Pelodiscus sinensis: one gene and its partner. The protein of the gene in region 2 interacts with the protein of the main gene of each other region in a pairwise test. Links are inferred from orthologs where the notes say so. Each region holds a gene or a part of one and is shown on either strand. Other genes may lie near its edges. The genes, in order: ZFP36 and XRN1.

What was found.
Region 1: the proteins of XRN1 (region 2) and ZFP36 interact in a two-hybrid assay, tested with the Homo sapiens proteins (2 studies listed by BioGRID). The link is inferred for Pelodiscus sinensis from reciprocal best matches to the Homo sapiens genes XRN1 and ZFP36.

The regions. Positions count from the first base shown.
Region 1 is NW_027465849.1:4,194,048-4,210,108, reverse strand, and holds ZFP36 (mRNA decay activator protein ZFP36), read right to left. Parts: upstream 5,873-16,061; 5' UTR 5,749-5,872; coding exon 5,713-5,748; intron 4,316-5,712; coding exon 3,320-4,315; 3' UTR 978-3,319; downstream 1-977. UniProt on the Homo sapiens protein: Zinc-finger RNA-binding protein that destabilizes several cytoplasmic AU-rich element (ARE)-containing mRNA transcripts by promoting their poly(A) tail removal or deadenylation, and hence provide a mechanism for attenuating protein synthesis.
Region 2 is NC_134720.1:21,385,010-21,401,044, forward strand, and holds the start of XRN1 (5'-3' exoribonuclease 1), read right to left. Parts: upstream 6,778-16,035; 5' UTR 6,531-6,777; coding exon 6,456-6,530; intron 77-6,455; coding exon 1-76. Other genes in the region: serine/threonine-protein kinase ATR, read right to left, coding at 11,528-11,701, 15,503-15,608. UniProt on the Homo sapiens protein: Major 5'-3' exoribonuclease involved in mRNA decay. Required for the 5'-3'-processing of the G4 tetraplex-containing DNA and RNA substrates. The kinetic of hydrolysis is faster for G4 RNA tetraplex than for G4 DNA tetraplex and monomeric RNA tetraplex.

The DNA of each region.
Region 1 (16,061 bases), on a different chromosome or scaffold from region 2:
CAGCGCCAGCCCCAGGCTCCTGCCAGCCCCAAAAGATTGGGGACCACTGCTCTAGGACCTCAGGCAGCTACACTGAAGCTCTCACAGCAGGTCAAACCATGACAGCAGTCCAAGCGGACAGGAATGCAGAGATGCCCTTCCCCAAGCCAGGCATGCTAGACAGTCTGGTGGTGCAGTTCAATCCCACTACTGCCACCTGTAAAATAGGAGCTGTACTTTCCTTGCCCCCACAGGCAGCTGGGAAGATTAACTCCCTCAGTTTGCCAGACTGGAGCAAAACAATGGGGCTACAGGGCAGGTAACTTACCAGCTCTGGCTGCTTCAGACACAGGTGGTCACGAGTCCCCCCTGCACCTATAGAAAAATACCTTCTCCCAAAGCTTAGTTATGAAATGTTCACCCCTAGCCTTGCATCCTAAAGGAGTTGGTACCAACCACAGTTCCTCAAAGGAATCTGGGCACTTAATGTTATGGAGCCATGCTTCTGTTCCCCTCTGGCAGTTTGGACAGTATGCTCTTTGGGGGGCAGAGACCATCTCCCACTCAGCCTCTGCACAGTTCCATGCTCAATGTAAGTTAGGCCTACGGAGACTTCCCCCTACCCTCCCCCCAAGTTCTTAAAATCCCACCAGCTTTGAGGTGGGGGGGAGGGGGAGGAGACAGAAAAAAAGGACAGGAGGCCCATGAAGACATGAGGATGTGCCATAATAGAATTTCAGCCTCTGTGTCTGGGAACTCACAGTAGGAGTTGCAAAGAACATCAGGGTCTGGTGTGACACACACACACACACACACACACACACACACACACACACACACACACACACACACACACACACACACACACACACACACACACACACACACACACACACACTTTCTACCATCTTTCTTTTAAATCCTCAAGATTCAGCAATAAAAACACCACAATGATGATTAAAAAAAAAAAAAGCATTTGTCACTGATAAACATCGTGCTTCTTGGTTACATCAGGCTGGGTTTCTTTTTTAATTAATTTTAATAACATGGAAAATATATATTATTTCAGCATATTACAAAAAAGATAAATACAATATAAAATTCTGTCGAATAAATAAGATTTGTATAAATAATTTTGGTTTCTGTTCTCTCATCGCCACCACAGTAAACAGCTTGTTTGGTTTTGCTTTCAACAGCAACAGAGTTAAAAAGCAGGGAATTGTTAGCACGCAAGCGGAACATGAAAAATCTCCACCGGGCCTGAGCTGGAAAGAAAGGGCCAAGAGGGCAGCCAGGAGATCCCAGCAGCATACCAATGTTGCTGAAATATTTAGTGCAGGTCCCAAAAGCCCAAGCTGCAGGTGTCATGTGACCAGACCCATAGCTTGCCTTTAAGAAAAAGTATGTTTTTAGCCTGGGGGATTGGGGGGGGGGGGGGGGGGAAACGGAGGCAAAGGGGAACCCTGAAGGTGGTTCTAAAGAGCTGCAGCCTCTTTAAGACTTTGGGGAGGGGTCCGGAGTTTGACCACATGCCGGCAAGCAAGAGGGGAGCACTCTGCAGGCTCACTTTGTGCAAGAGGTAGGCAACGCAAACTCGGCATCCCCTCCCCCCACCGCCGCGGAGTCGGTCCCTGGCACAGGCAGACCAGCACACTGTGACTTTAGAGACCGACCCGACCCGCCCATACAGCCAGGCGAGTCTGAGTGAGCTTCACATGGGGAAGTGGCACAGAAGCCCCGCCCTCCCGACCCGCGTGGATACTGGGGGAGAGCCACACCTAGATTGCAAACTGCCAGCTCTCAGTGCTGCCTTACTCCCCACTTCCGGGCTGGTGGTCCGATTGTTATCCCTTTAAGGCCTCAGACCTTTCCTGCTCTAAGTAATTCCCCTTCCCCCCTTTTGCAACAGAGCTATCACCCCCTCGCTAAAATAAATACTCCACATATGCCACAGCCTTACGTACTGCACTAACTCGGTCGGCTGTCTTGGGGACTAGTGCATTCCCCTCCCCCAACTTAAAGAGCTGTTTCATACAAGCCAAGTCCAGCAGTTTTCACAGGCCCCAGGATGACGGCAGACTGCGTAAGATTCCCAAAGGGATCTGCACCACCAGTCAATCGGAGGGGTCCGGAAGCCAGGGTTACTCTGTCCCAGCCTGGGGGAAGTTCTCCAGTAACACATACAACGCCCCTTGCTTGTTAAACGTTACAGTCGGGGTGGGCTGTTACTGGAGTATCTTTGTGATGCAGAAGCTAGGTTGTATATGTGGCTACTTAGCATCCAGGCTTCCCACTGCACAAGGCTACAGCTCTATCCGTTTACTCCATTATTTCAAAGATACTGGAGGATGCTTTGGCTGTTGGGCTGGGACACTACCCCCACCGCTCACCCTGCTCAGCTCCTCCCGAAAGGGGATTAAAAAAGAGGATGGATCTGAGCCAAGAAAACAATCACCAGATCAGGGAGCCCTTTCTGAAATATTCACAGCATGAAATCAGGGCTCCCCATAAAGGTGGGGGAGCAAAGCAGCACCATGAGAGCCAAATGTTCCCCCCCAGAAACCCCATTTGCTGAGGCAGTCCTCCCCCAAATCTGCTACATACAGCACATACAAGGGCACCCCCCACTCCGCTTGCCCCAGAGTCAGTCTGTTTGAGGATGCACACTGGCCCCGAGGGGCTCCCCTTCACCCTCCGTACTGAAGGCAAGTCCAGAGGAAAGACTGAAGTGGGGGAGGCATGGGGAGCAGCAGGTGAGCACTCCCGACGGATTTTGGGGAAGGCACTTCGGCAGCATCAGCTGGCACTTGTAGGACAATCAGTGGGAGGAAGGCAGGCAGGATGACGGTCTGTAGACGGAAGGGGCACGTGGCCAGGGCATTTAGGGCCCCTCCCCAGGCACAAGCAGAGCCATCAGTGCTAATGCTCGGCAGCAGAGACAAGTTCCTTTAAGCATGGCTACAGCCAGCCAGGCAGGGAGCTAGCCTTGCCTGGCAGGCATCTGGGTGCTTGTCCTACCCCCACTGTGGGGAGCTCATGTCCCACACTGGGGGAGGCCACCCCAACCCCCTTCCACCACCTGCAGACAGGAGTAGCTCATGCCAACATGTGGCTGGACAGTTGTGCCCAATGGGCACCCACTCCCCTAATATCTGGGCCAGCAGCCAGAGGGGTTGGGTTGTCCAGAAGGTGTCTTGGAGGCAAGCCCAGAGGGTCACCCAGGAGCAGATCGCAAACTTGCCCCATCAATGCATCTAATAACGCCCCCAGTCTCTTGTCCTGCCCCCCCCTCCTGGGCCTTTATCCGATTCCGCCCTCCCCTGCTGGGCAGCAGGGCCACTCACTCCGACACGGAGATGCGGTTGAAGATGGGCAGACGGTGGGCACTATTCCGGGTCCCAGCAGTGGGCAGCAGCTCGAAGACAGGCGATTCGGAGCCACTCAGGCTACCCGAGCTGCTGTAGCAATCCTGGTCGGAGAGCGAGTTGGACGAGGGGGTCCTGGGGAGGCTGGAGGCAATCAGCGTCCCCGGGGCGGCAGAAAAATAGTCCCGGGAACTCTCGAAGATGCTCTGCCTGGTGCTGCCCCCACAGCGGCAGGTGCAGCACCCTCCAGAGTGGGAGGTGGCCACGGTTTCTCCCAGAGTGGCCATGCGAAACACGGGCTCCGAGCTGAGATGGGTGAGCGAGGATGCAAGGAGCTCGCTGGCGGGAGGCGGGGAGATGGACGGAGCCCGGGTGAAAGAGGCCGGGTCGGGGATGCTGGGCGGCGGGGAGCCCTGGCGGGCTGTGGGCACCCCGGTATAGCTCAGACTCTGTCGCAGAATCTGCGGGGAGGCGGACAGCCCTCGCTCTTCCGGGTAGTGGACAAAGTGGCAGCGGGAGCCGTAGGGGCACTCGCCGTTGAGGTAGAATTTGTGACACAGCTCGGTCTTGTACTTGGGGTGGCGGCTCAGGCTCCGCAGCTCCGCAGCCCCATGGGCAAACTGGCACTTGGCCCCGTAGCGGCAGCGGCCCGTCTCGCTGAAGGTCCGGCACAACTCCGTCTTGTAGCGGGACGAGAGGGCGGGGGCCGGCGGGGGCTGCAGTGGGGGGAAGCCGGGGGGCGGGGGTGGGAGGGCTTTGCCCTCGATCATGCTGAGGGAGCGGTCGGTGCGGAAGGGCGGGCGCGGGGCTGCTGGCTCAGGCAGGGAGAGCAATTGCTCGGTGCTGGGGCTCCAGAGGGTGCGCAGGGGCCAGATGTGGGTGTCGCTGCCCCCCAGGTGCTCCGAGCTGGCAGAATGGCGGCGCTGAAAGGACTCATCCCGCTCCTCACCCAGATTCAGGTTGCGGAGGTTCTGTGGGGCAGAAGGAGAGGAAAAAGGGGGCATTAATGCCCAGCTCAGATACCCCAATCCTGGAGGCTAGGGACACACGGCTCTGCCATGCCCTCCACCCCCCCCCCCACAGGACACAGACACCCATGGGGCTGGGTGAGAGGCCCCTGGGCACGGCCCTGTGGCCTACATCGAACTGAGCACCTGGCTCTGCTCAGTGCCAGGCCCCCTCCCAGGAGGCCAAGCTCTGTGGTGACTCAGCCCCTGAATGGCACCGTGCCAGGGTTATTTATAAGCATCCAGGCCTGGCCACAACTAGGCCTTTTATACTGGCAGGCCCCCCCCCCCCCGCCCCAAGCAAGGGGCCTTCTGCCAGCCTAGTATAAGGGGCCAGCCCCCAGGAGTGCTGGGGCACTGGGAGCAGAGAGTGAGGTGCCCCAAGAAGTCCGCGGGGGGGGAGAAATACAGAACTGGTGGAGGCAGACTCCCAGCCTCTGTGTATGCACCATCCCGGGGAAACCGCCCTCTCTCCCTGACTCTTTCCACTCCCCCCACGGCTTCCCCACTGCCCCCCCCCACTCCAAGGGGGGGGGCGCACCACTGATCCAGAGAGGAGCCCTGTTCAAACACCGCCCCCACGCACAGCCTGCTAGATGCACCCCTCCCTCACTTTCCACTGCTTCCCGTAGTTGCCAAATCCCCCCCCCCCCCCGCGCCCCTCCCCAGCCCCTCCGTCTGCCATGGGGGCGGGGAGGAACACCATTCTAGGTCACTGTAACCCCTCCCTAGCCGCTGGGAAAGTCTCGGCCCCCCCCCAACAGGGGCGAGGGGCACCTTCCCTGGAGCCCCACCCCAGCAAGGCGCAGGGGTCGCTCCCGGCGCGAGGAGCTGGGGACGGGCATGGAGTTCACACGGCCACACCCCGCTTCACTACGCTTCGTTTACCGAAAGCGGAGTAGTGGGGAAGCGGCGGGTGAGTCGCACAAACATCGGGGGGGGGGGGGGACGGGACAAGTTCTGATTCCGCCCCGGGGGTGGCTCGCGAGGGTCCTTCGGTCCCCGAGCCAGCCGCCAGCCAAGCGGCGTCACTTCGGGAGGAGCTGGCATTAGAAACAAGGGACCGCGCCAGCGGGCGGGCCGGGCGCTGCTCCGGATCAGAGTCCCTCGCCTCCCGCCCGCGCGAAAACTCGCCCGTGGAGACGCAAATCGCGCCGAATTGGCAGCTCCGGAGTAGAGCCGGTTTGGCAGCTGCCTGGGCCTTTTCCCAGGGGAGGGATAAGGGGGGAAAGGAGTTTCTTTTAGAGGAGGGGGCTGCTTCCTAGCCCCCCCCCCGATTTTGGGCAATCGGGTCGCCCAGCCCGCGAGCAATTGGGGGCAGCGCAGCGCTGCCAAGTCCCGCCCGGTCCGCAGCCGCTTACCTCGTACAAGGCTTTTACATCCATGATCGAGCTCATCGCGATGCTGAAGAGGCGGCGGGACGACGGGCGGGCGGCGGCTCCTTCTTGCCTTCCTTCCCCGGGTGGGAGTCCGCGAATACCCCCCAGGGCTCAGCCGAGCTTTGTGGCAGGCGGGCGGGCTGCAGGGCCTTATATAAGGCGGCCGCGGACCCGCCTCCCATGACTTCATCTCGTTACAATGGGAAGCGAGAAACCCGCCCTCCGGGGGCCCGGGGCCCCGCGCCCGGCGTGGGAAAAGACCAACCCGGGCGCTCGGGGGCGGGCGAAGCCGGGGGGGGGGAAAGGGGGGGGTGGAGTGAATTGCTGGGGGGGGGAAGGGAGTGAACTGCTGGGGGGGGGGGGGCTAGGAACGGGCCTGGGAGGCCACCGTCCTGATACTGGGGGCTTTGTCTCTGCTCCCCCCCAACAAGCTGCTACCCGCTCACCCTGGGAACGGGGGTCGGCCCTGCTGGGAATCCCCCCCCCCCCGGCTGAAGGGGGCTGCGTCTTTTCTGCGGGGGCACCAACTTTGGGGGGGTTCTGAGGCCGGGAAACAAACTTTTCCGCAGTTTCCATTCCTCCCAGCAGAGGCCGCTCTGTCCGCGGCCCAGGCCGCCACCCCCTCCTGCAGGCTCCAGGGCCGGGGGGCCGCAGGGCGAGCGCCCGGGAGCGGGCGGACTCGCTCCTGCAGCCCTGCCGCCCAGCCCAGGCAGCGGGGCACCGCGCGCCCAGCCGCTGGCGCACACGGCAGCGAGGCCTCTGGGCTGCTCTAATGCGTGTCCGGGCCCTGCACAATGGGAGCGGCGAGTCCTGTCCCCGGCCAGCCAGAATGGGCTGGCGACGCTCCCTGTCCTGTGGCACAACTCTCTGCCATGGGCCCTGGGGGGCAGAGAACAGCCACAGCGCAGGGCGCTCCAGGCATGGCCCCGATCTGCGCCCTATGGGCCCTGGGGGGCAGAGAACAGCCACAGCGCAGGGCGCTCCAGCCATGGCCCTGATCTGCGCCCTATGGGCCCTGGGGGGCAGAGAACAGCCACAGTGCAGGGCGCTCCAGGCATGGCCCCGATCTGCGCCCTATGGGCCCTGGGGGGCAGAGAACAGCCACAGCGCAGGGCGCTCCAGGCATGGCCCCGATCTGCGCCCTATGGGCCCTGGGGGGCGGAGAACAGCCACAGTGCAGGGTGCTCCAGCCATGGCCCTGATCTGCCCCCCTATGGGCCCTGGGGGGCGGAGAACAGCCACAGCGCAGGGCGCTCCAGCCATGGCCCTGATCTGTGCCCTATGGGTCCTGGGGGGCAGAGAACAGCCACAGCGCAGGGCGCTCCAGCCATGGCCCTGATCTGCGCCCTATGGGCCCTGGGGGGCGGAGAACAGCCACAGCGCAGGGCGCTCCAGGCATGGCCCCGATCTGCGCCCTATGGGCCCTCGGGGGCAGAGAACAGCCACAGCGCAGGGTGCTCCAGCCATGGCCCTGATCTGCACCCTATGGGCCCTGGGGGGCAGAGAACAGCCACAGCGCAGGGCGCTCCAGGCATGGCCCCGATCTGCGCCCTATGGGCCCTGGGGGGCAGAGAACAGCCCCAGCGCAGGGTGCTCCAGGCATGGCCCCGATCTGCACCCTATGGGCCCCGGGGGGCGGAGAACAGCCACAGCGCAGGGCGCTCCAGGCATGGCCCTGATCTGTGCCCTATGGGTCCTGGAGGGCAGAGAACAGCCACAGCGCAGAGTGCTCCAGGCATGGCCCGGATCTGCCCCCTATGGGCCCTGGGGGGCAGAGAACAGCCACAGCGCAGGGCGCTCCAGCCATGGCCCAGATCTGCGCCCTATGGGCCCTGGGGGGCGGAGAACAGCCACAGTGCAGGGTGCTCCAGCCATGGCCCTGATCTGCCCCCTATGGGCCCTGGGGGGCAGAGAACAGCCACAGTGCAGGGTGCTCCAGCCATGGCCCTGATCTGCCCCCTATGGGCCCTGGGGGGCGGAGAACAGCCACAGCGCAGGGCGCTCCAGCCATGGCCCTGATCTGCCCCCTATGGGCCCTGGGAGGCGGAGAACAGCCACATCACAGGGCGCTCCAGCCATGGCCCTAATCTGCCCCCTATGGGCCCTGGGGGGCAGAGAACAGCCACAGCGCAGGGCGCTCCAGCCATGGCCCTGATCTGCCCCCTATGGGCCCTGGGGGGCGGAGAACAGCCACAGCGCAGGGCGCTTCAGCAATGGCCCTGATCTGTGCCCTATGGGTCCTGGGGGGCAGAGAACAGCCACAGCGCAGGGCGCTCCAGCCATGGCCCTGATCTGCGCCCTATGGGCCCTGGGGGGCAGAGAACAGCCACAGCGCAGGGCGCTCCAGCCATGGCCCTGATCTGCGCCCTATGGGCCCTGGGGGGCAGAGAACAGCCACAGCACAGGGCGCTCCAGGCACGGCCCAGATCTGTGCCCTATGGGCCCTGGGGGGGCAGAGAACAGCCAGAGCACCGTGGGGACTAGGAGAAGGTGGGAATTTTCCCCAGGTCTCCAACACCCATGTCCCTATGTTGAATCCACCTTTCGGCCCTCAGTTTGCTAGCCAAGGACTGTTTCCAGCGCCCATGAAGCAGGTGGTTTCCGGAAGCAGCGAATTCGGCTCCGGGTTCCCCTTTCTTGCAGCAAGGTGCATGGTCAACATTACCGCTTTTGGAAACAAACAAACGAGCAAGTGGGGAAGTCCCTCCCTCCCTGTCACGGGTGGTGGGTATAAGAGTCAAGGGAAGACATGGCTTTCCCTGGGTCTTAGTGTCCACTGTCTAGGGTTGATCCTTCTTGCAGGCTTCCACATCTGGCTGCTGCCTGGGGAATCTTCAAATTTAAAAGTGAAAAACCTTTCAGCTTACCGGACTTATGAGCAGAACATTTATATTGTTGAAGAGCCGTTCAAATGGCAGTGGAACCATTTAACAGGCAGTTGTGCATTACAAGTCCAAGATACGTTCCAAAAAACTTGGATTTATAGTGAAACAAAGCGGGGAATTTTTTTCCCCGTGGCTGACTTCCATTTAAGCAAATTGGAGGAAAGTGTTTCGCATGACTTGTAGCAGGGAATGAGAGGACTTATAGCGCATCAGTTCCTTCAATCGTCAACGACTTCAGTGTGGAACGGATGTATACTAGGGTGACATAGTGGGGATGCCCTGTATTGTAATATTTACTCAGACCATGTTAGTCTATAAGACCTTAGTTTAAAATTTGCTTTAAAATATTTCATTAGTGTATTTCTGATGATTATAAAAGTCACATCTCTAAAAAGTCCTTGCATAGATATTTTGGGATGAAATCGGAATATTCATCTTTAGCCTTACATTCGTTGATCATTAGACATGTAAATTTTTAAATACACCATTCAAAAGACCACCCTTATCTAAAATACACATTTTAGTTTTAATTACTATAGTACAAAAAGCTTGCTTCTAAAGTCTCCCTTCTTTTCTGTCCACCCCTGTAAATTGACATGGGCATTTGATGGCCTTGTCTACGCTGGCATGTTTTGTCACCAAAATCTGCCATTTGGCGACAAAACAGTGAGCGCATTTACACTACAATGCAACTTTTGTCAGTAAGAACACCCAGTTTTGGCAACACAAAGCTGCCACCCCCAGGAGAGACTTTTGTCTTTTCCCTCCCTTTATTGTCAGCGAAGACCCAGCGTGGCCTCTGCTGTTTGTTTTGTGGAGAGAACTGGTTTCTGCCAGGAGCCCACAGTGCCTGCCGTGATGGATGTGCTCAGTGGTTTGTGAGCGCTGCTGCCCTGCAGACGTTAGCCCCTCCCCTTTCAAAGCTCCAGGAAGTATCTGACAGCTGAGTGAGCTGCTCCCTTTGGGGAACAAAGTGCAAATGATTTAAATGCTCCTGTTCTGCAGCTGATGGGGGGCTGGAGAGAGGGCTGTGCTGCCTTGACATTCCTTAGCACAGATTGCTCACAGAGCTAGGAGGAAATCCCAAGAAGCACAGGGATCAGCTCTGCCTTCCTGCAGGACTGCGCTGTGGGATGCTTACCCACAATGCTTTGCTCTATCTGTCCACAGGGTGCTAGCCACATGGTCATAAAATGTTGACAATGGGAGGCAGAAAAACCTGTCTGAGTGGTTTTCACACTTTTGTCACCCAACCTTTCTTCACCCCTGCTCCCATGCCCTTTTAAGACAGCTTTTAAAGTAGGGGTGGGGAACCTTTTTTGGATAGGGGGCCACTGATCCACAGAAAAATCAGTTGGGGGCCACACACAAGTGAAAAGTTAAAAGCAAACAAGCAAACAAATGCAACCCACCTGGCCCCCAAGAGAAGGAGGAAAAAACTCCCCTGAAGTTCCCTGGGGGCTGGGGAATAGTAGATTTTGTGGGGCTGCTTTTGGCTCCAAGGTAGGGCCCAAAAGGAGGGGTTTAGTGTGTGAGGGGGGCTGCCAGGGACCAGTATGGGTGGGAGGTAGGGGTCAGGAGTGGTGTGGGAGTGCAGGGTCTGGGTGAGAGAGAGGGTGCAGGAGTATGCTAGGGGAGTGCAGGTTCTGGGTGGGAGGCATAAACAAGGCAGAATCTAGCTTCCTGTGTATACCAGAAGCCGTCCTGTCAGTGTTACAGTGCAGCTGCCTCTCAGGTGGAATGCAGCAGAGGTGAATAACAGCCAGGGAGCAAGAGATGAAGACAGGATGTGGCCAGCAAAGCAGGTTTCGCTGGCTCCCCAGGAATCCCCAGCGGCACGTTCTAAACCTGTGTTTATGTTGTCTGCACCGCAGCTCTTCCTCTTTTCCGGGAAAGCCCCTGGGACCATTTGCAACTGGGCCTCGAGCAGAGTAGCCACTGTGCTGCTCTATTTTAGGGAGAGGCAGTGGGGAGAGCCCCACACAGCTAAGCCATTCTTGTGAGATGACACATCTGAGGAGCCGTCTCAGCTGGAGATGTCGCTAGAGGAGGGTTTGGAAGACATAAACAATCGTAAGTCGCTGGGACCCGTTGGCACTTACCCAACAGCCTGGGAAGGACTCCGATAGGAATTACTAGCTGCGGTTTGCACCCTGTTGCGGAAATCAGCCACTGTGCTGGGTTCTCTAAAAAGGCTCCCCCAGGTGATCCCAGCAGTTACAGGCTGGTGAGCCTGACTTTAACACCAGGCAATTTGGTTGAAAGTAACCCACAGAAGGCCCAGACACCTAGAGGAACCCCCTCAGCTGGGGAAGAGTCCGCCTAGTTTTTGTAAAGGGAAATCATGCCTCACCAATCTACTAGAATTCTCTAAGGGGGGCAAAAAGCATGTTAAAAGACAGGCACCAAATGGGGAGTTTAGAGTGGAGAGAGGTAAATAGAGGCACTTCCAGGAATCTGTACTGGAAGCTGGCACTTTGCATAGGCATCGATGATAGCGGGGTGTAGAGGAGATCAGTCAGGGGAAGGTGTCAAGCTAGGCTGGGAGGGAACCCCGATGCATCCCTGGGAAGATGGAGAGCCCCAATGGGCTTCCGGTTAGGCTCTGCCTCAGGGCCCCGGGTTTCCAGGGAATGAATCACTGGCAACATGCCCTGATGATGAGTTGGGAAATCCCTCTGAATCAGCTATGAAAGTCCATGGATCAACAACAACAGCCGGGACCGGGGAGTGCCAGCCCCGTCCCTGGAGGGGATGTCCCAGCTCTGCGAGAGGGGTCGAGACAGGAACAGCCTAGAGGTGGTAAGGAGATGGGAAGAGCTGGGGTTACACGGCGGAAGTGGAGTTAAGCTGGCTGTGAAAAGGGATGGGGATTTCCTGGCTCAGAGAGGCATCGGATGGAATGGGGGGATGGGGACCGTGCCTGGTCTAAGAGGTCCAGGATGGGGAAGAGGGATTTCCTGGCTCAGAGAGGCCCAGGATGGGATAGAGGGTGAGGAATAGGGACTGTCTCAGCTCTCAGAGGTCCAGGCTGGGGTGGCCAGGGCAGAGTATCTGGGTTTCACAGCTGTGGTCTTCTCACAGGAGCCAGCAGGTGCCTTTGCCCCTGCTCAGATCCAGCCCACCCTGGAGTCTGACCCACCCAAACAATCCCCCCAGGGGCAGAAAGATAGCAGGGACCAGAGGTTCTGGGTTCTAGTCACAGCTCTGTTGAGACCTTACACATGGCTGGTTCCCTGCCTCAGTTTCTCCTCCCACGCAGCTGTAAGCTTGCTGGTGCTGGTGCTGTCTGAATGTTCTATTTCAAGCCACGAAGTGCAGAAATAAGCTGAAATCTTGTGTTTAACTTCCCCAGATTCCTGGAAGCCTCGGCTCTATCAGTTCTTATTCATTTGGGAGGAGGTTCAGATCCTCTGTTCTATGGGTTCTGATTTGTCTTTCTGGTTCTCTGGATCAGTGTTCCCCCTAATTTTTGCCATCCATGCGTGGAATAATTTTGTTCTGTGCACCAAGGCATGTGAAGATGTGTACCACCTGTAGAAACACCTACTGCCGGCTGTGGGCACTCTGCTTATCAGCTGGGCGGCGTTTGAATCTCTCCTAGGTGGCTGCCCAAGTGCTCAGCTTGCAGGGAATACCCTGGATCCTCTGTTCTGTGGGGTTTGATCCATTGCTTTGGGGGCTCCAGTCCTCAGTTCTGAGCTATTTTTTGGAAGGAGGTTTCAGATCCTCTCTTCTGAAGTGCGGTGCAAGAAATTGGCTTGTCTGGCGTGAAATGGGCAGCCTGGCCCAGTGTGACTGCGCTCAATCAGGGATGTTTTCTAACCGCACTTTCTTGCTCCCAGCAGCTGGCCAGACTGGGAGGAAGGTCTGCCTCCCTTTCCAGGGAACTATGGGGTCATCCTGGCCTGCTGCCCATGCACGTTTCCTCTGCGTGCTGGAAACAGAGCTGTCCCAGGCTGTTGCACAATGGGCCTGCCTTTCCAGGAATCTCCCCGTGTCAGGAGGCGATGGGGACGGCCTCAGGCTGGGGATGAGCAGTCTGAGCAGGCTGGGGAATTTACCCCTTTGGAGATGGGTTGCACAAGGCTTCACTAGCTTAAGGCAGGATTCCAACGATCAGGAGAGAAGCCAGGTCAGCCCCCCAGCCTTTAACCACTCAACTCCACTTCCCTCCCAGGGCTAGGAAGAAAACCCAGGAGTCTTGACTCCAGAGCACTCCCACACCTTCTAGCCATTAGCTCACATTCCCCTCACTTCATGTGCCCTGGCTTTACACGTGTGTCACTTTAGTAACACTGGTAAGAATAAACTATGCGGAGGAAAATCAATGGAATCCGGTAACCCTGCACATGGGGAACAGTGAACAATGTCTCGAGGGGACACATAGACCCCCTACTAGGCCACAGGTGACCCTCAGGCTGCCCACCACTGCTGTAGGATGAAAGACACACACACACACACACACACACACACACACACACACACACACACACACACACACACACACACACACACACAAAGCCAATTCCCAAGTCTCCCCTCCTTTAGCTGTAACTTATTGCAAGATGTGTTTCTTGGACCCTTCTGTAATAAATACACATGGCAATAAGTCTGGTTAACAGCCAGCCAAAACGACAACCCTACCAAAATAAGACCCTCCACCATGCCACATGCGTCTCCCTCTGGGGAGTGCATGAGAGAACAGCTGCCTGTGCTCCCCATGTGTAACGCCTGGTTGGAGGGCACTCATACAATAGGCTGAGGAGCAGGGTATCAAAGGCCTCCAATCAGCTGACTCCAGCATGCAAAGGGGGGGCTGAGAATTGCAGGGGAGACGGAGCCATAGAGTTAAAGGACAGGGAGGATCAGCAGGTTGTCTACTCCAACCTCCTGTGCAATGCAAGCTCTGTGTTGATCTCAGTAACTCGTGTCTGCACCACATACCAGGCCTCTAAGAGGGTGATGGCAAGACCCAAGGTTCCAACCCTTGTGTTTTACAGACTACCACAGCCCCCACAGGACTCATGCTCTGGGAAGTTCCCCAAAGTGTCTCACGGACCAAATGGTCCTCTGCAATGTTCCCTCTAACGTCTTCCCTCTGAGTGCGGAATATGTTGTATTAGGTGCACCAAGGCATGTGCGGATGTGCACCACCAGTGAAAACACATACTGCCAGCTGTGGGCACAGAAGGCACCATGCTAATCAGCTGGGCAACATTGGAATCTCTTACTGGGGACGCTGGTGCTCCAGTCAGTCAAGTTTGGTGGACAGTCGGATTTCCCCACATGGCAGCACCAGCCAAGGGCTGGAGCGGCCACGTTTTAGGAAGGTGCTAGGCAGTCTGGGAACTGAGGGGAGGGGGAACTCAGGCCTGCATAATGCCAGGCAGCTGCTGCAGCCCCAGACTGGGCCCCAGCGTTTGACAATTCCTATCTTGGGGGTTCAAATGAATGTAGACCAGTGGTGAGCAGCCCATGGCCACTTGCAGCCCCTCGTGGTTCTCTCTGTGACCCAGAAGGCACTTTGCTACCTTTACCCATGCAGGGGGTTGCAGATCCTGCTGGTTTCTGTCCGCATCGGTTTTTCCCACCCGTGTTACTCAAGTGACACGCACGTAAAGCCGAGGCCCGGGCCGGGAGGTGTGTGCTGACACAGCACTGCCTGTGAGAGCCAGGCGCCCGCTGCAGCCAATCACAGCGCTGCCACGGTCCCGTGGACACCCCCTCCACTGCACATTGCCTGTGAGAGCTGGGCGCCCGCTGCAGCCAATCACAGCGCTGCCACGGTCCCGTGGACACCCCCTCCACTGCACATTGCCTGTGAGAGCCGGGTGCCCGCTGCAGCCAATCACAGCACTGCCACGGTCCCGTGGACACCCCCTCCACTGCACATTGCCTGTGAGAGCTGGGCGCCCGCTGCAGCCAATCACAGCGCTGCCACGGTCCCGTGGACACCCCCTCCACTGCACATTGCCTGTGAGAGCTGGGCGCCCGCTGCAGCCAATCACAGCGCTGCCACGGTCCTGTGGACACCCCCTCCACTGCACATTGCCTGTGAGAGCCGGGCGCCCGCTGCAGCCAATCACAGCACTGCCACGGTCCCGTGGACACCCCCTCCACTGCACATTGCCTGTGAGAGCTGGGCGCCCGCTGCAGCCAATCACAGCGCTGCCACGGTCCCGTGGACACCCCCTCCACTGCACATTGCCTGTGAGAGCTGGGCGCCCGCTGCAGCCAATCACAGCGCTGCCACGGTCCCGTGGACACCCCCTCCACTGCACATTGCCTGTGAGAGCTGGGCGCCCGCTGCAGCCAATCACAGCGCCGCCACGGTCCCGTGGACACCCCCTCCACTGCACATTGCCTGTGAGAGCCGGGCGCCCGCTGCAGCCAATCACAGCGCTGCCACGGTCCCGTGGACACCCCCTCCACTGCACATTGCCTGTGAGAGCTGGGCGCCCGCTGCAGCCAATCACAGCGCTGGCCGGTCCCATCGGCACCTCCGCACATTCTAGCTACGCCAGCACGGTGAGCGGACAGCCCAGTCCTGGGAGATCACCAGGGTTCCCACAATCTTGTGGCCCACGGAGATGAAGGAGGGTCACTCTTGCGGCCCACTCACTAGTGTAGACGCTTAGGTACTAGGTAACAAGCCCAGATCTGTACATTCTGGCTGTGTCTACATTGGCTTTTGCGCAAAATCTTGCCTCCTGTCTACACTGGCCGCGAGTATTTGCACAAGAACACTGACGTTGTAATGTACAAAATCAGGGCTTCTTGCGCAAATACTCTGACGCTCCCGCTCAGGGATAAGCCCTCGTGCGCAAGTGTTCTTGTGCAAGAGACCAGTGTAGACAGGCAACGTGAATTTCTTGCACAAGAAAGCCCGATGGTTAAAATGGCCATCAGAGCTTTCTTGTGCAAGAGAGTGTCTACACTGGCACGGATGCTTTTGCGCAAAAGCAAATCTTTTGTGCAAAGGCACATGCCAGTGTAGACGCTCTCTTGTGCAAATACTTTTAACAGAAAAACTCTTCCATTAAAAGTATTTGCGCAAAATCATGCCAGTGTAGACTCAGCCTCTGGGTCTACTAACCCTGGCTTGCATTGCTGTGTAGACATGGCTAGGCCTGCCCCATCTTCCTCGGGATTTAGATTCCAACTAGGGTTGCCAGGTGTCTGGTTTTGAACTGGACCGTCCCATATTTGAGCTTTCTGTTTGGGAAACAAATTGAGAAAATATAAATGAGAAAATATCAATGGTCTGTATTTTCTAAATAAGATGTCGTGTAGATTGTGATGTAATGTCAAGTGTGTCTGGTATTTTTGTTGAAACCACTGGCAACCCTATTTCCGACAATCTTTGGTTTTCAAATTTGATTGCACATGATTTTATACTTACTTCCGGATTGCTACTGAAAATACTGACTCAAGTCAGACCTG
Region 2 (16,035 bases):
CATCATCATCATTAGGGTGTGAACACTGATGGATGATACCATTCATATCCAGGTACAAGTTGTCAAATTCTGGAATCTAGGAAAAAAGACATTTAATGTTTTACTGATAACGCTTACCAATCACAGACCTAGAAACAGTTGCCTTTGTTCAGTGACAGCAGAAACAACAGAAGCTGTCTTCCAAAGTAGGAAAACCTCAGCAGTTTCTGAGCTGTGTGAGACAAGGGATTTTCCTGGGGACTGATTGTAAACCTAGAGGCGGGGGCATTGGTTAGGTCCAGTTGAGTGTAAAGTAAGGTAAAAGTTGCCAGAAAACCTGAAGATAATGAAAGATATGCAGAGACCATGACCTTGAATGCAAGCAGAGACAGAATTCCTTGGGGCACTGGACTCTGCTAAAAAGCAGGCATGCAAAATGTGAGCAAGGAAGCTGTTCACTATTTGTTCCTACTGTTTTCAGGAAAATGGCATTTTTGCATACATTCTTTGTAAATAAACAGACTTGCACCACAAAAATACCTTGCTCATATAAATAATGCAGCATGGCTCCAAATATTGGCTAGCTGCTTGGGCCAACAGGTACCACCATGTTTTTGTCCAAAAATTTAACACCAACAAGGCCAGTTTGTAAGCAAACATATCCATTTTGTACACACATCTACTTGCTTGATGTTGTAAGTAATCCTAACCATGAGAGTCCCCTGCTAGTTTCTGTAGGATTGTTTGCTCACTTTCTGTGACAACCTATTGTGTTGTTGCTGAACCATCCTCTCACATGGGAAATGTTTTTGGATTTGTGTTCTAGAGTCAGGAGGAGCAGAGTTCTATTTCAGTATTGGCAAACATGAAGTGAAGGAAAAGGTAGAGGCAAGATTAAAAAGGAACTAATACATCTCTAATATCTAGTGTCTTGTTTGTACAGCTGGCTCTGCAATGTATTACACTACAGCTGATGCACAGTGCTCAGTAATTATTTTTATGCGCTTCCTAAAATGGTATTTAGTCCCTCCAATAAAGGACCTAATTTTGCGGTCCAAGTAAAACTGCATATCCAAAGTCCACCACATCCACATGGACACCAGCTCTTCAGTCACAAGAGGATGTGTGTTGCAGTGACAGCACTCTATAAAAGCTCCAAAACTTGGGTGAGCCGCATGACCTTTTCACATGAAGCAGAACATATAGAAGGATAGCAGAGGGCATTTTCTACATATGAAGAAGCATACTTTAATTACATTTATAAATAATAATCTTTGTTTTGCACACAAACTGCCCTTTATCTTCTATCACTTTTTCAGCAAGAGCAAACAGAAGAACAAACAACATAACCCTGTCCAGTAGTGCTCCCTCCCCCTACTTCAAACAAAACAAACCCTGTTACTTGTTGCTTCAGTATTTGAGTAGCTGGCCCAATAGTTTACATCATTCTAGTAGTGTGCGGCTTTGAAATACCCCATCCCTTTCCCCTCCTCCCCCTTGTTGCCTCTTTCTGATACAGGCAGCAGGGGGAGGGCAGTGACTAAAAAAGCATAACTAAAAAACTGTTTGATAGCAGCCCAAGTATGATATGTTTATTTGAATAGCCAATAATGTTAGGCGCCCAATTTGGAAAATGGCCTTAAAGTTTCTAAATTTACATTTAGACACCTAAATGAAAATTGCCTGACTAGAGATGCTGCATGTGAGCACAATAATCAACCAGTCACAAGTGTTTTGATGTGCAGCTATTTGGCTGTATTCTCACCCTCTAACCCTGTGGTCATCAACCAGTTGAGCGCGAGGCGTTCTGGGCCTCCCATTTCCTCCCACCCCCAAGAAGCCCCACTAACTACCTCGAGCAACAATGAAGGTAGTGGCAGCTTCCAGTGGGGTGGAGGAAAGTCCTACAGCTGCGCATCACTTCCAGGGGTTCCAGAAATGCGCTAGCTGTTTCCTTGCCCCAGATCCCTGGCATTCTGGGAACTTACCGGGTAAGTCCCCGGAGGCTTTCCCTTCTCTGCAGAAGGGGGGAGTCAGGCCCAGAAGGAGCGCGTGTGCAGGCTTCCCTGCTCCGCGGGGTGGGTTGGCCCCGAGAGGTCGCATGCGTGGGCTTCCCCCCTCTGCGGGGTCGGCCCCGGAGGGAGCGCGCAATGGAGGCTTCCCTCCGAGGCTGGTGTAGGGGACTCCCTGACCCCATTGGCACCCTGTCCCCGAACCCTGTTCCTGCCCCCCAAACCCTGTTCCTGACCCCTGCCACAGAACCTCGTCCCCCGCCCTCCTGCCCCCCCATTCCCTTCTCCCCTGTCCCCCCTCTGCAGAAACCTGCCCCACCACTGGCACCCTGTCCCCTGCTGCAGAAACCTGTCACCCCCAGCCCTCTGTCCCCCACTGCAGAAATCTATCCCCTACTGCAGAAACCTGTCCTCCTGGCACCCTGTTTCCTCTCCCATGCCCTCAGCCACAGAACTCTGTCCCTCTCCCCTGCTGCAAAAACCTGTTCCCTTGCCCCTGCCCCCAGCTGCAGAACTCTGCCCCCACTGGCACCCTGTTCCCTGCCCCAGCACCCACTAGCACCCTTCCCCAGTACCATGTCCCCTGCTCCCAACTGACTTTTCTGTGCGTCAGTGACCCCTGACTCAAGACAGGTTCCCTGCCCATCTCATAAACAAAGACAATGCAGAAACTTTGTGTGTTTGACACAGTATTTTATTTAAAATGAAGCCTGGCCAACAAACCCCCAATTGGGGCCAAGCCTTCATCTGCCCACAGCCATTCCTGCATTCCCCCTTCCCCTAGACCTGAGCTTATCATACACTGGAACTTCCTGCCCTGAGCCCCTCACATACCTCAACCCAAATTCCTGCACCCTCACTCCACAAGCATCTGGCTTGCTTAGTACCCCAACACTGCCCGGCCTGGAGCCTCCTCCCCGAGCCAGCATCCCCTTCTCCACCTCCTGCTGCATCCAGATTTCCTCCCAGAGCTTGCACCTCTCACCCCTTCCCACACCCAAATCCCTCATTCCCACCCCAGAGCCTACACATCCTGTCTCAACCCAGCAAGGGTAAGGCTAGACTGCAGTTTTTCAGGATTCTGGAGATATCCCAGAAAAACTCTCCTGCATCCAGGAATGCGTTTGTTCTTCCACTTTTTTTAGTGGAAGAGCAAACATGCTCTTCTGGTCACCCCTATATTCCTCTTTCCACGACAAATAAGGGGGCTTCCAAAAGAAGGGTTTTTTCTGACATTTGGTCCAGTCTAGACAGGCCAAACGTTGGAAAAACCTCTTCCTACAGAAGAATTGGAAAAAAAAAAAAGGCAGCAGTATAAGGATTGGGAATAGCAAATGATGGAGAGCAGGAGAATAGAAAGGGGCGGGGCTTCAAGAAACGGGCAGGGAAGTAGATCTTGGCTTGGTCTGTCATTTAAAAAGTGATCTTGGGTATGTAAAGGTTGGAGACCACTGCTCTAACCTTTTCTGCATTGCTCCACAACACGCTCCCACCCCCAAACAGTTAAATCAGTCAGGGTATAAAAAACCCACATCCTGACTGACAGTTATGGTGGCAAAAAACACAGTGTAGTCACAGCTATCTCAACAGAAGAGTGCTTCTGCCAACATAGTTAAGATTGTTTTGGGAGGCAGTGTTCCTATACTGGCAGAAAAACTCCTTAGGGAGGTATGTTAGCACATATACACCGAATAAAGTCTCTCTAGTAAATGCCCAGCCTAAAATTAACTCTTAATTGAAGCTAACTGGGCCAGAAAGTAAAATTCAAGCATTTGCTGGTGGCATAGTGTTCAGCTAAAACAGGTTTTTAACAATAGGACAAAAATAAACATTTAGAAGTACTTTACAAAGATTACTATCAGGCAGTTTAGGAACATTTTTATATTATAGAACAAAAATTAAAAAAAACTCCGAAACAGTATTAATACAAAGGTTTCTATTAAATTAAAAAGAAACAATATAAAAATACATGTGGATTTAAACATATCCCTGATGTTCCTAACCCAAGCTTTGCAACATTGTTTTAGTGTTTAAGAACAAGAAAGTAAAACTGGCCACAGAAAATGTAAAACAGAAATAAAAGTGAAACTGATCAGTTGATTTCCCTTGTTATGTGCAAATTACATGCTATCAAATAAATGAAATCTTTGTTCGACAAGATGGATAAACTAAGATGTTGGACACTGATAAACAATGCCCTCCATTAACTATAACAAAAAACAGGACTATGTAGCACTTTAAAGACTAACAAGATGGTTTATTAGGTGATGAGCTTTCGTGGGCCAGACCCACTTCCTCAGATCAAATAGTGGAAGAAAATTGTCACAACCATATATACCAAAGGATACAAAAAAAAATGAACACATATGAAAAGGACAAATCAAATTTCAGAACAGAAGGCGGATGGGGGGGGAGGGAAGAGAAATGTCTGTGAGCTAATGATATTAGAGGTGATAATCGGGGAAGCTATCTTTGTAATGGGTAAGATCATTAGAGTCTTTATTCAAACTTAAGTGTAAAGCGTCGAATTTAAGCATGAATGACAGTTCGGAGGATTCTCTTTCAAGTGTAATCTTAAAAGGCCTTTGAAGCAGGATGCAGGTAATCAAGTCGTTGAGACAATGTCCTTGCTGATTGAAATGGCAGGAAACTGTTTTTTCTTTGTGATCCTGTCTAATATCTGTTTTATGGGCATTGATTCTTTGGCAAAGTGTCTGAGATGTTTGTCCAATGCTATCATGTGCCGAAAGTGTCCGTCTGCTATGTACGTTGGACAAACGTCTCAGACACAAAGAAAAAACAGTAAATTGAAAAAGCAAATTGGAAAAAAAAAAGCAAATTGAAAGAGCCAGACGAATACCTAGAAACCATCTACTTCAAGACAGACCCAAGAAAACCAACTGTAGAACACCACTTGTCATCACCTACAGCCCCCAACTTAAACCTGTCCAACACATTATCAATAAACTACAGCGTATACTGGAACAGGATACTAAACTCTGAGAGGTTCTGGGAGACAGACCCATAGTCTCCTATAGACAAGCACCTAACCTCAAGATGATTCTTACCAACAACCACAGGACATACCACACTAATACCAACCCTTGTACCTTCCCTTGCAACAAACCCCGTTGCCAGCTTTGTCCACATATTCACTCTGCTGATACCATCATTGGACCTAACCAAGTGAGTTATAAGATCAAGAACACATATTCCTGCGCATCCAGAAATATAATTTATGCTATCATGTGCCGAAAGTGTCCGTCTGTTATGTACATTGGACAAACGTCTTAGACACTTCGCCAAAGGATCAGTACCCACAAAACAGATATTAGACAGGATCACAAAGAAAAAACAGTTTCTTGCCATTTCAACCAGCAAGGACATTGTCTCAACGACTTGATTACCTGCATCCTGCTTCAAAGACCTTTTCAGACCACACTTCAAAGAGAATCCTCCGAACTGTCATTCACGCTTAAATTCGACACTTTACACTTAGGTTTAAACAAAGACTCTAATGATCTTACCCATTACAAAGATAGCTTCCCCGATTATCACCTCTAATATCATTAGCTCACAGACATTTCCCTTCCCCCCCCCCCCCCCATCCACCTTCTGTTCTGAAATTTGATTTGTCCTTTTCATATGTGTTCATTTTTTTTGTATCCTTTGGTATATATGGTTGTGACAATTTTCTTCCACTATTTGATCTGAGGAAGTGGATCTGGCCCACGAAAGCTCATCACCTAATAAACTATCTTGTTAGTCTTTAAAGTGCTACGTAGTCCTGTTTTTTGTTTCAACTACACCAGACTAATACGGCTACATTTCTATCTCCATTAACTATGATTTTCAACCTGTGTCTATCTAAATGATAATTAGCTTAAAAAATCTGTAGCTTATTATTTCAGTAAACAACACAGTGACTACAGCAATACATCTCCCCACTTTCCAATCATTTACTATTTACACATCTACTTTATATTTACTTTTAGCCTACCATCAGTTACTTACAGAGAAGCAGAGTTAGACTCGGGGTGAGCACTTCTGAAAACCCCACCTATATGTTGGCTTCTACATCCAAGTAATACTGTCAAGCAAAACAGCTGCCTTCCAAACGTACCAACAGGGGCTGAACTAAACCTCGGCGCGCCCCGGGAACGAAAGATCGACGCCCAGATGCGGGAAGTCCACACCAGCCTCAGCCGCCCAGCAGCTGCGCCAGCGGAGCCTTATCGGGGGGGCCCGAGTCGGGGCTCGCTTTCTAGCACCGGGCGCTGGGGGGAACCCCCGGGAGCGACCTGGGGCCTTGCGCGGGCGAGGCAAGTCAGCGGAGCCCCGAGGAACCGAGCCCGGAGCCGTTCGCGGTGCCGGGCCCGCCGAGGCGGGGGGACACTCTCCCCGGCCCGAGCGGCCAGGCCAGACGGCGCGAACCCCCCCGCCTCCCGACCCTGCGTCGCTCACCTGATGCTCCTTCAGCACCTGGCTGAGGCAGGGATACCGCTCCGAGACCCACCGGTAGAACTTGGGGACCCCCATGGCCGCCGCCTACTCGAAGCCCGACGGGACCCAACCAGCCCTTCCCCCTCAGCCGGCTTCCTTCCGGCGCGTCCTACTGACAGCCAGGCCGCCCAGCCGCCACAGAGCGCGGCGCAGAGCGGCCCTACAGCCATAGAGAGGCAGAGACAGAGCGTCCTTCCTCGCCCCCTTCTCCCGGCCTAAGGCGGGGGCAGCCCTCCCCGCACGCAGCTCAGCGCGCTCCCGCGGGCAAGCGGCGCCCTGCGCGGACCAGCCGCACAGACCTTCCCTCTCTGTCCCCACGCGCCCCGGCCAGGGAGTCGCAGCGGCAGCGTGTGAAGTCTGGAGCTCGGTCCCGGGGCAGCTGGACCAAGCCTTTCCGCCAGCAGGGACCCCGCGGTGGGGTCCATAAGAGAGCGAGGCTCCTAGGGGCCCGTAGCAAGACACCGTCCCCCCGCTGCTGTGGACACAATGAGCTGTAAGAGTCTGGGAGGAAGATGGGTATGAACGGGTCACCGGTTACCCAGCTTCCCTGGGCCCACCGCGCCACGGGCCGAGGCAGGAACCAGCTCTCCGCTAGCGGGCTCTGCAGTATGCCCGCAGCACATGTAACCATGTAAAGGCACGGTTTTAAAGGGCTTTCTACATCCCTACACATTCATGGCGATTTATATGCAAATAATAGAACTCCCCATTTAAATTAGATAAAATATGTGCAAAGATTAAGGGATTAAAATACAGCCCATTTGATTACTTGTATTCAAATTATGTATTCACCTTGTAATTCCAGGTGGGGATTATTTTGGAGAGGAGGAGAATAAGAACAATATCGATGGAGTATTATTTTCAAATGGTGCTCACAGTCACTAATGGTCATGGAATAATATTTTATGCTATTTGGATTTTTAGTAGAAGGCTATAAATAGTGTTTTTGTGGAGGATGAGAACTTTCTTGAAAAAAGATCCTGAGAATTTTTAGACTAGGGGAGGGATGTAAAAACAAAGTCCAGGTTAAGGAAGAAAATGAAGGGCATGAATTATCTCAATCACTTCAGTGGACTAATTCAAGAAATGCTGTTGTCTTCAGTTGGAGGAGTTTGTGTACTATAAACCTGCCTCTTGGTGACACTCCATACCATGCTTTATTAAGCAGTTTAGACTAGAGCAGAAATGGAGAAGAGAACTTTTTTTTTATTTGGGAGCTGCTGATCCACAGAAACATAAGTCAGGGGCTACACACAAGTGAAAAGCAAAACGAAAACCACCTCACTGACGTGGTCCCCAACGGAGGAGAAAAAGACATTCCCTTCACATGCCAGAGACTAGTGGGACCCAGACTTGTAGATTTTGTGTGCTCTAGTCCCACACTAAAATGATGGGAGGGCTGGTGCGCCAGCACATGCTCCCCGATGCTGGGGGACCAGCCCCGAGGGCTAGATGCAGGCAAACTGGTAGCCACTGGTAGTCGCAGGTGGCCCCCAGGCCTTAGGTTTCCCATCCCTGGACTAGAGGAATTAAAATAGGTCAAATAGGTGCCACTGTTTGATACAATAGTTTAAAATGCCTGGTGCCTTCTCAGCAAGAACAATACTTTAGAGCAGGGGTCTCCAAACTTTTCAGCCCGAGGGCCGCATTAACTATCAAACAGCAGTTCAGGGGCCGACTACACACTTGAGGTCCAAATAAAAAACAATCAAAACATGGATGTTGTTTTTAATTATTTATTTAATATTATTTTATTCAGTTATTATTTAATAACACATTGATACACTACACATGAACACCTGTATTAGTGTGAATGGTGAAATTGTTTCCTGGATGCCAAAATAGCAGACATTTCTGGCTTTAGATTTGTTGTCCCTAACATCAACAGTGACCTGAGATTATCATCGGACAAGTTTGTTCTCAAATTGTTCTTCACATATTTCATTCTTGAAAATGTTTGTTCACACAGGTATGTTGTTCCAAAGATTGAAAGGTACCTTGATGCAAAAGTTTTGACATTAGGAAAGTCTTCCTTGGGCAAAAACTGGTAAAAACCCACCAGTTCTATTTTGAACTTGTCCCTAAGGAGGTCATTTGCTTGCAACTCAATGACTTCCAGCTGCAGTTCATCTGGGCAACTGGCCACATCTGCTTCAAATGGGTTTTGAAACAATCTCACTTCTTCTGCCTTTGAATCCAAGTCAGAAAACCGCTGCTGAAACTGCAGCTGGAGGTCTTTGATGATCTCGCATGCAAATGACGTGGGGAACTCAGCTGTTGCTTCAGCCATGAAGACCTTGCACTGCTGAAAGTGCGTCAAGTTGTTGGCCTGTACTTGTTCCAAAAACAAGACAAGTTTGGATCTGAAGGCCTTTAGGTGGGTGTATAGATCAGAAACTAGATTTTGCTCTCCTTGTCGTTTTAGGTTCAGAAAATTTAAATGACTAGTTATGTCTGCAGCAAAAGCCAATTTCCATACCCACTCTTCATCAGACAGTAATGGCTGTGGCTTGCCTTTACTTTCCAGGAAGTCACCTATTTCCTTTCTTAACTTAAATACTCTGCTCAGAACTTTCTCACAACTTAGCCATCTTACTGCTGTGTAATATGGTAAATCTTGCGATTCTGTGTCTGTATCTTTCAACATGTCTCTGAACTGTCTATGGTTGAGCCCATGTGACCTTATTAAATTCACCATCTTCACCACAGGATTCAGTACACTGCTAATGTCCACATATTTAGCACACAAAGCTTGCTGGTGAATAATACAGTGCAGGAACATTGGTTGTATAATGTTTTTCTCATTACACATCTGCTTCACTTGTCCAACCAAGCCTTTCTTTATGCCACTCATGTTCTTTCCTCCATCAACAGTCAGGCAACTGAGGTTAGTCCAGTCCAAGTTATAATCAGCAAATGTTTTTTTCAACTCATTGAATATATCCTCTCCGGTAACAGTGCCATACATGCTATGTAGGGAAGCCAGCTCTTGTGTTATGTTCATGTCTTCATCCACACCTCTAATGAACACAAGCAGTTGAGAGGTGGAGCAGCTGTCCAGCGATTCATCCATTGCAATTGAAAAATGGCGAAACTTGCTTGCATTTTTCGCTATTTGAGTCACAATGTTTTCACCCATGTCTGCAACACGGCGGGCAATGGTATTCGCACCCAAAGCTACATTTTCAAATTGTTTTGACTTTACTGGGCAAAGTTCCTCAGCCACTTCCAACAAACATTCCTTCACTACTTCACCATCTGTAAAGGGTTTGCCACTTTTAGCCAGGACGTAGGCAACTTTATAACTGGCCTTAGTTAAGGATTCATTTTCATTTGAGGATTTACTGAACAATGTCCTCTGAGATGTGAGTTGATTTTGTAATTTAGAAAATTTTTCGGCACGGACTTTACCCTTCAACTGTACATATTTCTCCTGATGTTTGCTTTGATGATGACGGCGCAGGTTGTATTCTTTCATCACAGCCACGGTTTCGTTGCAAATCACACACAATGCTTTCTCGCCGGATTTGATGAAGAAGTATTTCAAACTCCATTCTTCTTGAAATTGCCGACACTCATAGTCTATTTTTCTTTTCCTCTTCTCGGCCATCGCTGGGCACTAAAATAAAGTGAATTAAACATGAATAAATAATGAAACTGAAAGTATCTTGCACACAATATCGCTCAAAAAACCTGATTATGCGAACTAATTTTGTCGCAATAATAGCTGCAAATGACCCGAAACAATTTTTAAAAATTCTTATGATTTCTTAAGTTAAACTTACCTGAATATAGTGTGCAAATATATCCACTTATGGTAGAGAGATTGTTGCTTTTAATGTTTCCTCTTCAGAATATTCGCCTGCGAATCTGTTTCTCCCGGAAGGGGGGGGGGGGGGGGGCTTTTCCCCCTGCTCTCCCCTTCCTCTGCACGCTGTCCTCCCCTCCTGCTTGCCACCGCTCACTCCTTTCCCCCCCCCCCGGGCGGAAGGGGTCACCTTTTTAAAGTTCCCGCCGGGGTTCACGTTCCCCCGCACGTCGCCGGGCGGGCGTTACCACCACCGCCCATCCTGCCCCCTGATTGGCCGGCTGCCCTGTCAGTCTGGGCGGGGGAACGCCGCCCGTGCTAACCCCCGCCCCCTGCGCCGTTTGCCGCCGCGCGGCCGCTTGTCAGCGGAGCGGCCCGCTTCTCCTGCCCCGGCGCGGCGTGAGTACACGCCGCACACCCCTGACAGGGCCCCCCCCCCCCCCCGCGGCAAGAAGGGCCCGTTCGGCGGCGCCCCAGGGACGGGCGGGGGTCGCCTCGTCACACCGGCACGCGGAAGAAGGCGGGGCCAGACAAAAAGGTCTCCACGGGCCGGATGAGAGGGCCTCGCGGGCCGGATGCGGCCCGCGGGCCGTAGTTTGGAGACCCCTGCTTTAGAGAAACCTAGGTGAGAATGAAGACTGCAAAAAAGCTTTTCATTTTGGAAAATCCTTCTGAAATAGGTACATGAATACAGTTACAAATCCCATTTCAACCATGCGGATACAAAATTTATTTTATATACAATATCTTTTAAAATATCAACTCAGGTTTCCTACAAAAGAAAACTTATATATAACATTTTATAAAGCTAATTTAGACCCTGCTCTGATACAGAAGTGAACATATACATTCATAAATATCATAGATGAGTGTTAATTATACAGGAAATACACAACTGCATCAGGGAGACGACTGTCAATTCTGTTCACTAGTTCATGTATTGTATTCTGTATACATAAAACTGTATAAATACAAATAAAAGTATGTGTCTTCAAACTCAGAATGCAAAGAATTCATTTATATATGTATACAACATACACCGCCTATGTACAACAACTTTACAGTATATATTACATAGGCTGCACATTAAATTGCAATTTAGACATACACAAAATCAGAATCAACAAAAGTGGTAATTTTAGAAAATTCTTCAGTGACTAAGAAAGAATTCAATAACTTTTTGGTTAAAAAAAATTACAGAAGCACAAGTTGTGAAGGCAGTATTTCACATGTACGGAGCCCAGCCCAGGTACATCTGACAGAGCAGGTTCTCATCATTTGCTTCTTGAATGAGGTAATGAACGTGCCCTTCAATAGACAAGGGCAATCCTTTTACCCGGTTCCTAGTCTTAATCACACCCTGAAGCCGCTGTTCTATGTCAAGGACATGAGTCTTTGCCTATAAACAAGAGAAAAAAACCTTACAATTCATATAGCTATGTATTTGTCATATCTGTAATAGAAACATTTCCTGTTCTTCCAAATAAACTTTTGGCCAATTATAGCTTGTATTTCAGATCCCACATAAACAGATTTAATATACAAATATCTATGAACTTTTTCTGAAAACAGTTGGATTTCCTTTTGTCACTTTCTTCATTCTCAAGAACTGCTTGCTTTTTGGACAAGCTATAGCCTTTACATTAACTTTACAACTAGATCTTAAAGATCGAATGAATTATTGCACATCCTCTTGAAGCAGATAGCAATGAAATGTGTTTCATTCTATAAAAATCATTTCATTATCACCGTATATACATGTGGCTCAGTAACAAAGAGCCCACGAGACAACTAATCAAAAGAGCATGTTCCAGAAAATATTCAACCTTCTTATGTTCAGAAAAGCATTTTTTTTTTGTTTTTTTAACTTAAAAATGGTGATGGTGGGGAGGAGGTAGGTTGACTGTTACAACGCAAGCAGGACTGTAAACATTTTCCGCTGAATGTCTTCCGCTGAATGTAAAAAAACAAAACAAAAAAGACTGGAAGTATGGACCAGACTTGAGCCAAAAACAATATTTTGACTAATACTCAACCATGAAATTAGGCAAAATACACAACTATTATCATGAGGTCTTGTCCTTGAATATCATCAGTTACATCATCAACCAATGAGAACTGATTCTCAACTTACAATGAAAGGAGCTCTATATTCTCAGGCATAAAGGGAAACAAGAAGACATTCTATAAATATATTATAAGCAAGAGGAAGACCAAGGACAGGGTAGGCCCATTGCTCAGTGAGGAGAGGGAAACAGTAACAGGAAACTTAGAAATGGCAGAGATGCTTAATGACTTCTTTGTTTCCATCTTCACCGACAAGTCTGGTGAAGGAATGCCTGACATAGTGAATGCTAGTGGGAAAGGGGTAGGTTTAGAAGATAAAATAAAAAAAGAACAAGTTAAAAATCACTTAGAAAAGTTACATGTCTGCAAGTCACCAGGGCCTTATGAAATGCATCCTAGAATACTTAAGGAGCTGATAGAGGAAGTATCTGAGCCTTTAGCTAGCATCTTTGGAAAATCATGGAAGACAGGAGAGATTCCAGAAGATTGGAAAAGGGGAAATATAGTGTCCATCTATAAAAAGGAAATAAAAACAACCCAGGAAACTACAGACCAGTCAATTTAACTTCTGTGACAGGAAAGATAATTAAGCAAGTAATTAAGGAAATCATCTGCAAACACTTGGAAGATAATAAGGTGATAGGGAACAGCCAGCATGGATTTGTAAAGAACAAATCATGTCAAACCAATCTGATACCTTTCTTTGATAGGATAACAAGTCTTGTGGATAAGGGAAAACTGGTGGACGTGGTATACCTAGATTTTAGTAACGCATTTGATATCGTCTTGTATGATCTTCTTATCAATAAACTAGGCAAATACAACTTAGATGGGACTACTGTAAGGTGGGTGTATAACTGGCTGGATAACTGTTCCCAGAGAATAGTTATTAACAGTTCACAAACCTTCTGGAAAGGAGTAACAAGTGGGGTTCCGCAAGGGTCTGTTTTGGGACTGGTTCTGTTCAATATCTTCATCAACCATTTAGATATTGGCAAAGAGAGTATGCTTATTAAGTTTGCAGATGATACCAAGCTTGGAGGGGTTGCAACTGCTTTGGAGGATAGGGTCATAATTCAAAATGATCTGGAGAAATGGTCTGAGGTAAACAGGATGAAGTTTAATAAGGACAAATGCAAAGTGCTCGACTTAGGAAGGAACAATCCGTTTCACACATACAGAATGGGAAGCAAATTGTCTAGGAAGGAGTATGGCAGAAAGGGATCTAGGGGTTATAGTGGACCACAAGCTAAATATGAGTCAACAGTGTGACACTGTTGGAAAAAAAGCAAACATGATTCTGGGATGAACTAACAGGTGTGTTCTGAGCAAGACACGAGAAGTCATTCTTCCGCTCTACTCTGCATTGATTAGGCCTCAGTTGGAGTACTGTGTCCAGTTCTGGGTGCCACATTTCAAGAAAGATGTGGAGAAACTGGACAAGGTCCAGAGAAGAGCAACAAGAACGATTAAAGGTCTAGAGAACATGACCTATGAAGGAAGGCTGAAAGAATAGGACTTGTTTAGTTTGGAAAAGAGAAGATTGAGAGGGGACATGGTAGCAGTTTTCAGGTATCTAAAAGGGTATCACAAGGAGGAGGGAGAAAACTTGTTCTTCTCTGTGGATAGAACAAGAAACAATGGGCTTAAACTGCAACAAGGGAGGTTTAGGTTAGACATTAGGAAAAACGTCCTAACTGTCAGGGTGGTTAAACACTGGAATAAGCTGCCTAGAGTGCCTGTGGAATCTCCATCTCTGGAGATATTTAAGAGTAGGTTAGATAAATGTTTATCGGGGATGATGTAGATAGACAGTACTGGGTCCTGCCATGATGGCAGGGGACTGGACTCGATGACCTCTCGAGGTCCCTTCCAGTCCTAGTATTCTATGATTCTATAATAAGATCACTCATTTATCGATCTCATATATTGTATTACATACAAAAAACTGTACTAAAAGAACATTAAGATCCCAAAGTCAAACTCTTTAAGAGTTAGGAAATGCCAGAATGAAGATTGACTGTATAAGTTTAATTTAGCTCCCTTATACTAACTCAACCCCACTATGATACAGACTTGATTTATATGCTTGATGCTGCACATCAAGGATCAATGGATCCTTTTCCACAGGAGCTCATTTACTGTATATGACAGACCTTTTCTGAGGATCAGTCAGGGTTGTGAAATGAAAGAGGCTTCTCTGTATGGCCCTGCCTCCTTTGTTGCAGAAGTCAGAAGATATGTAGTGAATGAATAAGGTGATTACAAGAGAAAGGCTGGTCTCATAGTTAAGGCAGTTGAGTACTGCCTGGTAAGACAAAATTCTACTATCCCTGTCTGTGCTGTGGCTGTAAACAAACTTTATGAGACTGCAGGAAACGTGGCCACACCCCATTGTAAGTGGACAACTGGCTAACTAAAACTATGTCAAACCACAGACTAGAGAGGTTCAACCTGTATCTTAGGTTCCATTCCAGACTTTTGAGGGGACTCTGTTCTAGCAGGTTAAGATACCCTGATGATGGAAACGGTAGAATCTATAGTACAGACACAACTCAAGTGGTATCATTACTGTGTCATCTATTGTGAAAGCTCTACAATAGTTATGGGGTTAAGCAGTATTTTCTGTTTAAAAGTCCACTCTTGTAAGTACTGTAAAATTCATGTGTTTATATAGATTGTCTTGAAAATTGCTGTCTCTCATGGGGATGCTAGCTAGAATTCATGATCTAAATTTGGATAATTTAAATAGGAGCTTCCAAGTTATGGTCCTCGCCACTTACCCCCAAAATCATAATGGTAAAAATTAATGAGTCTTTTCTTCACTACAGCTTCTATTATAGGTGGAACTGTAATTATGCGTCCTAATTTTACCAGTATAGTCTAGACTTAGAGAGTGATACTAAAAAGATACAGTAGATCTCATGAAGGCTTTTATTGAAATACCAGTCTCATATTTGAAGGATTAAACAACAGCAAAGAGATAATTAATAAAAAACCAACTAGAATACCTTTAGAAGAAAAATACAAGGAAAGTAAAGTCTTGCATAAATTAGAACAAAACAACTGATACTGTGAAATATAAAATAATTAAATGTTAGTTTGAGAGTAGATCAAATGTCTTGCAACTAACCTTTTCATTGACAACTTCCCCAGTTTCATTCACCTGTGCTTTTGTATTACCTTTCACTGGTTTACTCCACTCTACAAGAGGATCATGGATAAAAGTCTTCAAGACACTAAAAACATACAAACAAAAAAAATGTTGATTGTGTGGGAAAAGGATTACTTATAAACTTCTTTTGACCCCGAAAAATTAAAATGTGTCTTTTGACTACTAACTTAATTGTTTTTTAATCCAAGACATGTTTTTGTTTGCTAAAATAAAACATTAATGCCTAAGATTAATAATTAATAACCTGTAATGTCTTCATTTCCAAAAAGGAAGGGAAAACAATTATGAAGATACTAAATTCATTTTAAAGAGGCTATTTCCTTTACAGTTCTCTGTACAGTATCACTGCTGGTAATTTCTTGCAGGTTAGCTTTGTCCATGACTTCAGTCATAAAGAACACACCTATTCTTTTGAATTTGATTTTGTATCCTCCATCAGCAGTCTTTGCAGTTATAATATCAGAGCACCAAACCTTTCAGAAGGCAGTAAC